Linked DNA regions of Arabidopsis thaliana. The protein of the gene in region 2 interacts with the protein of the main gene of each other region in a pairwise test. Each region holds a gene or a part of one and is shown on either strand. Other genes may lie near its edges.

Region 1 (3,754 bases), on a different chromosome or scaffold from region 2:
TTGATCTGAATGTTGTTTCATTCTCTAGTTGTCAGATTTACTGATGATGGGAATAAGCAAAACGGAGATCAATTTGCGGAGATTGCTTTCCGCTGCACCTAACCAGCAAAATCAGTCGAAGCTTATGCATGTACGTTTCTTTTGATCTTCATTATATGTAAACTATTAGTCTCGTGTTTATGTTGATGTATGAAACAAAAAATCTGCAGTATGTTGCTACATTGAGGGAACAATTAGAACAACTCTCCGAAGAAAAAACCCCTGAAGGCCTTCCCAGGTTTACTTACTCTCTTGTTGATTCACCATTGCCATTAAAAAGATTCCTGCTTTTTGGTGTCTCTTTCTAGGATCAAGGGTTAGAGATTTGAACTGGATTGCTTCGTATTATAGTTGTTGTTCTAAAAGTACATGTTTTTTGGTGAAATACCCTTGCAACCATTATGAGAATGTGCTTATTTTCTCCTTTGATCTCTTTGTCCAGAGTTACAAAGGCTAAGGTTAATGAGTACTATGAGAAGATTGAAGCTGTTGCTTCCAAGATAGCTTCTCAAGAGGTAAGTCACCTGAACTAGAAAGGGACACTTCTTTTCACTTGTCTAGCTAGGACATTAGGCTCTTGTTGATATGATACTTTGTTAGTTACTTCCCCAATTTTTACTAGATGTATTGGTCTCAGGAATTAGTTTCAGGAACGCACATTTTGGTTGGTTCCTGCGTAGAACCATTGTTTAGCTGCAAGAATTTTCAAGTTTTACTTCTGTAACTTATACCAAATTTTTGATTTTTGCTAAATTTACAGCCTGAGACAGAGGTATCTGATGAACCCTTTGCAAAAGATTCGACTAGTGGAAGCTCACCAAAAATAGAAGATGAGCCTCGAAGCCCCACTTCGCCACAGCTGAGAAGAAGAATCGTGTACGTGGAATACTAGATTCACATCCTTCTCAAGTTGTAGTAAATTCTTTCTTTTAGTACTTATCAACTTCCTTGATTGAGTTAGCCCTGCAAGTTCCAAGGAGCAAAGCTTTGATGCTGCTGATGCTGATTCATCAAAACCAATAAAACTAGACACCGCAGCTCAAGCGCACATTGACAAGCACAGGTAGATGCATTGATCACCAAGAAGAACTAGGAACTCATTTCTATCTATGCACTTTCGTTAGTAGAGAGAAAAATTTATCGCAAAGAGTAGAGCTTTATTGATTTTAATATAAGTTCAATTTTGCCACTTCATGCCAAGTTGGTGATTCATTTGATGACAGAAAGCTTCAAGAGGATCTAACCGATGAAATGGTGGTACTTGCAAGACAACTCAAGGAGAGAAGTCAAGCGATTAGTCAATCTGTGCAAAATACAGAAAAGGTGAGATGCTAACCATTTCCTCACAAAACCAATTATTCTTACTTTTTTAATCAACAACTATGTAACAAGAGAAGAATCTATATTGGTTCATATATCCTTTTAACCGGCTTCATTGCTCCTAACATTTTTCTTTCTTTCTTTTCTTGTGGATTCATTAACAAAAGATACTTGACTCTACCGAGGAGGCCATTGAGCAAAGCCTAGCGAGCACAGGACACGCGACAACAAGAGCGACAAAGATATATTCACAAAGCTCAAAGACAAGTTGCTTCCAGTGGCTCTTGATCTTCGCCATGATCTGTGTGTTCATAATGGTTGTTCTGTTGATCCGGGTCACATAGAAATTGTTCAGATTGTAATACCAAATTAGTGAAATCCAAAAAACATTTCAGTCTCTTTATCATACAGTTTGTGAAAGTTCTTTTGACTTTTGTAAATTCTGAGTTTTTGATATGTGAAACTATACTTCTAAAAGATATGCCAGAAATCAGTACAATTTGTTTGTGAAGAGGAATTGAGAAATGAAGAATTGTAATTTAACCGGTTTGGTTTGAAGACCGGTATGATTTGGTTAGTATAGTTTGTCTTCTTCGTACACTTAAAAGTTAAAACCCTAAGGAAAGGCCAAAACCCAGAGACTGAGAGAATCCATTTTCTTTTAATCGCCATGGGTTTCGCTTTGTGCATTCGTAGATCAGCTTCTACTTTAGCTTCCGTGTGTGGTCGTGTGGCTCGAGCTCAAGCCGTCTCCGCTATCGTTAATCGCTCGTCTCTTGTTCCCAAGCCATCTCTGCTTCGGCCCTTCGTCTCTCGTGGCTTTCCTTATTCGACGGCCACTGAGCCGTTAAAGTCCGATCAGACGCTTATACAAGTGATTGACTCTGAGATCAAGGATTCTTTCGAAGCAGATGATCACGATGCGGTAATAACTGATCTTTATCACTTGATTCCTGGGAAAATAAACGAATCTGTGGGATTTGTTTTTTTCTTGGTTTTTGATAGAGAATTGTAGAAGCAGTGTTGAAAATTGGACTGAATCTGTGAGTTTGCTTACTCTGTGGAAGCCATAAGCTTTAGTGGGAACTCATGGTTGAATCTAACTGGAGACTTTCTATGCCTTAAATCGCATTTCTTTCAGAATTTGTTGAGTAAAAGTTCATACATTTCGGAATTTGATCATGAACCTGTTTTGATTCTGAGCTCACACAAATTGCATGAACCTGTTTTGGTTATAAGCTTATGAGAGACTACATGGTTCTTCTGGTTATATATTTCAGGATGAAGAGACGATAGACTCTAGTGACTTTCCTTTCAAAATCGAAGATAATCCTGGACACAGGACTGTGACATTGACTAGAGAATACAATGGAGAGCAGATTAAAGTAGAAGTAAGCATGCCTGGTCTTGCCATGGATGAAAATGAAGATGATGTGGATGACGATGAAGATGGTGATGGTCGTCATGAGAAATCGAATGAATCAAGCATTCCACTTGTTGTCACTGTGACCAAGAAGAGTGGACTTAGCCTAGAGTTTAGCTGCACTGCTTTCCCTGATGAGATTGTCATTGATGGTTTGTCTGTGAACCGTCCAGATGATTCTTCTGAAGAACAGTTGACTTATGATGGGCCAGATTTTCAGTAAGCAACATACTGTATATCCCCTCTGTTTTAACCATATGATAACCCCAAGAAAAAACTCATATGTTGTTTCTTTCTTGTGCTTTGCAGGGAGTTGGATGAGAATATGCGCAAGTCGTTCCACAAGTTTCTAGAGACGAGAGGAATCAAAGCAAGCGCAACGGATTTCTTGTATGAGTACATGATGAAGAAAGATAGCAGAGAGTACTTACTATGGTTGAAGAAGCTCAAAACCTTTGTCCAAGAATGAAGGAGACACGCTTAAGTAGAGTAAGAGCTAGATTGTTTTATGTTTGCAGATTTCATTTGTAATGACTTTTGAGTTCACAATGGGGTTTTGAATGTGAAATGCCGATTTGTATCTTTGTCTAGACCACAAATTAGAAAAAATATAACTTATTCTGCATGGAGAAATGATACAAATAGTTGTGGTAAATCAAAGGTTGTGGACATGTATGGAGCTTTTTTGACATGAAGAGAAGCTGCTAAACATTTCACTATTATCAAAGACCACTTAAGTAATGAGATCTTCTTATGATGGTACAAACCTCAAGGAACACTATATCCTATGTAAAAGGGGGAAAAAACTTCAATCATAATTGTAAAACATAATATGACATCAGCAGAGAAAGAGAGAACTAAATTCCATTCTCAACAGCCTCTGTCCTTTGTAAGACAGGAAGATCCTTATGGGTGTAAACGATTCCATTGTCTCCATCCACAACTTGTCCCTTTCCTCTCATTATCCTGTCA
Region 2 (3,754 bases):
GACTGGAAAAGTAGCAAACTTTGACTTCTCTGACCGATTTTGAGCACAAATTCCAACCTTTCTACTACACTCTTCTATGACCATTTCAACTAAATTTCGGATAGACACTGTTGAATCGCAGATCAACCGGGAAAAACTCACGGGAAGAAAGTGTTTCTGCCTGCTTTCGTGGAGTTTGGAAAAGGCCTGGAGTGATCCACCTATCATGGGCCTAATAATCGGCCCAATTAGTTTTGTTACTGGATGTGTTAATAATGATGAAGAGTAGAAACTTTGACTTGTCTGATAAAATGATCACACTCCTTTCATGACCATTTCGATTCAATTGAGGAATTAGGCACTGTTGAGTGACAGATCAAATGTCCTAGGATCTATAAACAATTGACATTCCATGGAATCAGCTTTAGGGGGTTTTGAGCAATCATCATCACCAATCAGGTTATTCGAGGGATCCAGTTTGTTTGTTTTTGAATTCAGCTTAGGGGAACAAAAGAGTTAAGATTGTGAAAACAAATGACATGAATCACTTGATTCGATAGCAAACACAAAAGCAGGACTAATCTCTCTCACACACACAATGTCTCAACTTAAACAGAGAAAACTAGTCAATGTCCCAAAATGAAAATATAGTAGAGTACTAGCTAAAAGAGAGGTAGAGAGATCATTCATTCAATAGGGTTTCTTTTGTTGTTGATGGTGGTCATGTCGTCAGGAGGTATGACAGCAATCCTGAGAACACCAAATTCTGCATCCCAAGCGATGGTGTTGTTCGAAATTAAAGCGGGAAAAGGACTTTGGACGCTTCCGAGGTAGGTTCGACCGCTCTCATCGTGTTCATACACGTCCTTGATCTCAGCTTTGAATCTGATTTCCTTTTCATCAGCATACACTTCCACATCATCCGGACTAACACCTGGCATGTCCACTGCAAAGTGAGCCCCTCCTCCCGCTTTTGTCACCCCAATTAGTGCTCCCTTGCGACCAGACACCAGACACGGATGATCCTCCAAGCGTATTCCGGATTGACCTTAATAAAGAACAGAGAGTACTGTATTAACAACAAATGATGCAGCAAAAGAGATTGTGACTTTAGAGAAGAGGAATGAGTCGAACCTGTAAAAGGAGGCACAGTGAGAGTACACTTGTTGTTGTTGTTGTCTTGAGCCTTGCTCACAACCTTGACCCTTGTGAGAATCATCCTCAAAACTCCATCTTTCATTTTGGCATCCACGCCTGTGATCTCGCAGCAGTCACAGCCAAGCCCAGCGGTTCCAGAGTACTGACGCACACCTTCCTTGCCGTTGTTCAGAGTTTCACCGGAGAAAAAGACAACCTTTTGTCTCACGGCGTCAACTCTGTAGCGAACGGCGTCGTCTGGAACACCAGGCAAGTCGACACGCACGTAGAGATTGTCGTTCTCCAGAACCTTCACTTGAACGAAACCCTTTGGACCCGCTTTCTGAAACTGATTGTTCGTCGCGTAGAACCCCTCTGTAATAATAATAAGTAAACAAAGATCAAAACTTGATGAAGAAAAGTATACAGAGAACAAAGGAAGACACTTATCAAAGATGGAACTAACTCGATCTGCTTCATTTTCATGAATCATGCACAGTAAAAAAACTGTAAATCTTTGTACCAAGTTCATGTTAACACTTCACAAGTAAACAAATTGAGACAACTTTCTAGAAAAAACACATATTTTCCGAGAAAAATTAGAACAATGTTGTTCTTGGGAAATCTAGTAGCTCGTGAAAAGAGATACCTCGAACTTTAGGAATTCTTGACATGTCCCTGAAATCTGCCTTTGTCTCACCCATCTCTCTCTTTGTTTTTTGCTCTCTCTTCTCTTCTAGTTCAAGGTAGGTTGCGTAAAAATGGCGTTTTGTTCTCCTGTTGATAAATATAGACGAAGCACCATCTTGTGGTACAGACTGTGACGTGGCACGCTCCAGCTGGCTTTTTTTTAACCTTCATAGCATAAGTTTGACTGGTCTTGCCTACGTCACCGACTCTCTCTCTCGGTAAGAAAAAAAACTTGCTTTTACTCTTTTGATTTTTTTTACGGTAGAGAATAAGCTGACGTCACCAGCTCTGTGAGCTATCCCACGCTTTTTTTACTCCTTTCGTTTATATGTAATTATGTACGACAAAAATGACTGCAAAAGTAAAACCGTACCCACACTCTTCACTCTTCATTAATTTTCAAACATTTTTGACAAGACGACGCTGACGTCAGCAATCTTCAAGAGTAAAAAAATTATGAGCTCTCAATTATCTTTTTTTTTTTCATCAAAGATCAAATAAGGTTTCAACCGTCGTTTAGTGTTTATCCAATTATTACGACAACGCTATTAAAAAGTTTGATCCCTACTTACAACAACATATATCTATTAACATGTCCAGGTTACATACTCGTAATCCGGTTTAATAATGGCAAAGATCTATATAGTCTTATCGAATAGCTAGGTTAATGTAAGATTAAATAGAACAAAGAAAGCTGACAACTTTTTCTTTATTGAGATCACGACATATAGAAGCAAGATCGTTCTTAACTAAACCACAAAATGATAAACATAAAGCAGTAGCTGCATCAAAGTTCATAGATAGATAGAGACGCTAGACACAAGTACCATTACGAGACACAAACCAAGGTGTTGTTAAATCAGTAATGGAGGATCCTCTCCTTGACATTAATGGAAGCGTTTTTGCCTGGGATCTTAGGGACGGTGATCCAGAGCACTCCGTTGATAAGCTTCACTTTAGTTTTCTTGACGTCGTAAGCCTCAGGGTTGAAAATCATGGAGCCTCCGTATTTGCGTCCGGCGTTTTCGTACTCAGGCATTGCTGGTTCGTCGGCGAAGAAGTGGACGTTGTTGGCGTCGACCCAGTAGGTGAGATCTGACTCGGGACAACCAGGCATGTCGACTCTCGTCACGCAAGATTTCTTCGTCTCTGTCACCTCGTACACCGCTTGACTCCCACTTTTCTGAAATCGGTTCCTTACTGTACATACATAAGATAAAACAAACACAAATTCGTTATTAGAAAGAGAGATTTGACGTGTAAACTATAAAGGTTTGATTTTTATAAGAAATGACAGTGAAAGATGAAAACTTTACTTGGAGACGGAATTTCGCCGGAACTGCCTGCGTTAACTTCCATGTTCCTACTCATTTGCTCAAAACGATGCTCTTTCTCTTTCTTTTGGAAGGAAACTGAGTGAGCAAAGTCGCTCTACTCCACTTGCTATTTATAGCCGAGGAGGACTATAGGGTTTGGGAAAGGCCTGGAGTGACCTATCATTTGGCCCATTAATCGGCCCAAGGAGTGTTAAAAATTCGAAATTGTTTCTGATTTGGTGAAATTGATCGAAAAGCTCTTCTAGTTGAACTCCATGGAAAGGAGTGATCTTGTAGAGTGTTGACAATTGACATCAATCTGGAGACTTTGACTTCTCTGAACAATTTTTAGCACAACCGGAGTGACCACCTAATATGGGCCTAAGAATCGGCCCATTTAGTTTTGTCGGGGGATGAATTATAAACAATTGACATTTGATGGAAGAAACTAATATTCAATATCAGCTTAGCTTTAGGTAAATTATGCAATGGACCCAATTTGTTTCAATCGGCTTAGAGGAAAAAAAAAGAGTTAAAAGTTTGTGAAAACAAATGACATGAATCATTGGGTACCATAGCAAACACAAGTATGTATATGTTAGTTACTTGTGTATTTGGCCCATACATCGGCC

Evidence for each region. The genes of interacting proteins can lie anywhere in the genome.
Region 1: the proteins of AT5G47590 (region 2) and AT3G55605 interact in a two-hybrid assay, tested with the Arabidopsis thaliana proteins (one large-scale study listed by BioGRID).

Annotation. Positions count from the first base shown.
Region 1 is NC_003074.8:20,620,639-20,624,392, forward strand, and holds AT3G55605 (Mitochondrial glycoprotein family protein), read left to right. Parts: upstream 1-1,968; 5' UTR 1,969-2,029; coding exon 2,030-2,284; intron 2,285-2,639; coding exon 2,640-3,001; intron 3,002-3,091; coding exon 3,092-3,251; 3' UTR 3,252-3,413; downstream 3,414-3,754. Other genes in the region: AT3G55600 (Membrane fusion protein Use1), read left to right, coding at 44-130, 210-277, 482-554, 800-915, 1,001-1,102, 1,263-1,362, 1,527-1,703; P5CS2 (delta 1-pyrroline-5-carboxylate synthase 2), read right to left, coding at 3,640-3,748.
Region 2 is NC_003076.8:19,297,280-19,301,033, forward strand, and holds AT5G47590 (Heat shock protein HSP20/alpha crystallin family), read right to left. Parts: upstream 1,896-3,754; 5' UTR 1,821-1,895; coding exon 1,766-1,820; intron 1,492-1,765; coding exon 1,114-1,491; coding exon of another isoform or gene 1,028-1,113; coding exon 666-1,027; 3' UTR 335-665; downstream 1-334. Other genes in the region: AT5G47600 (HSP20-like chaperones superfamily protein), read right to left, coding at 2,666-3,006, 3,123-3,177.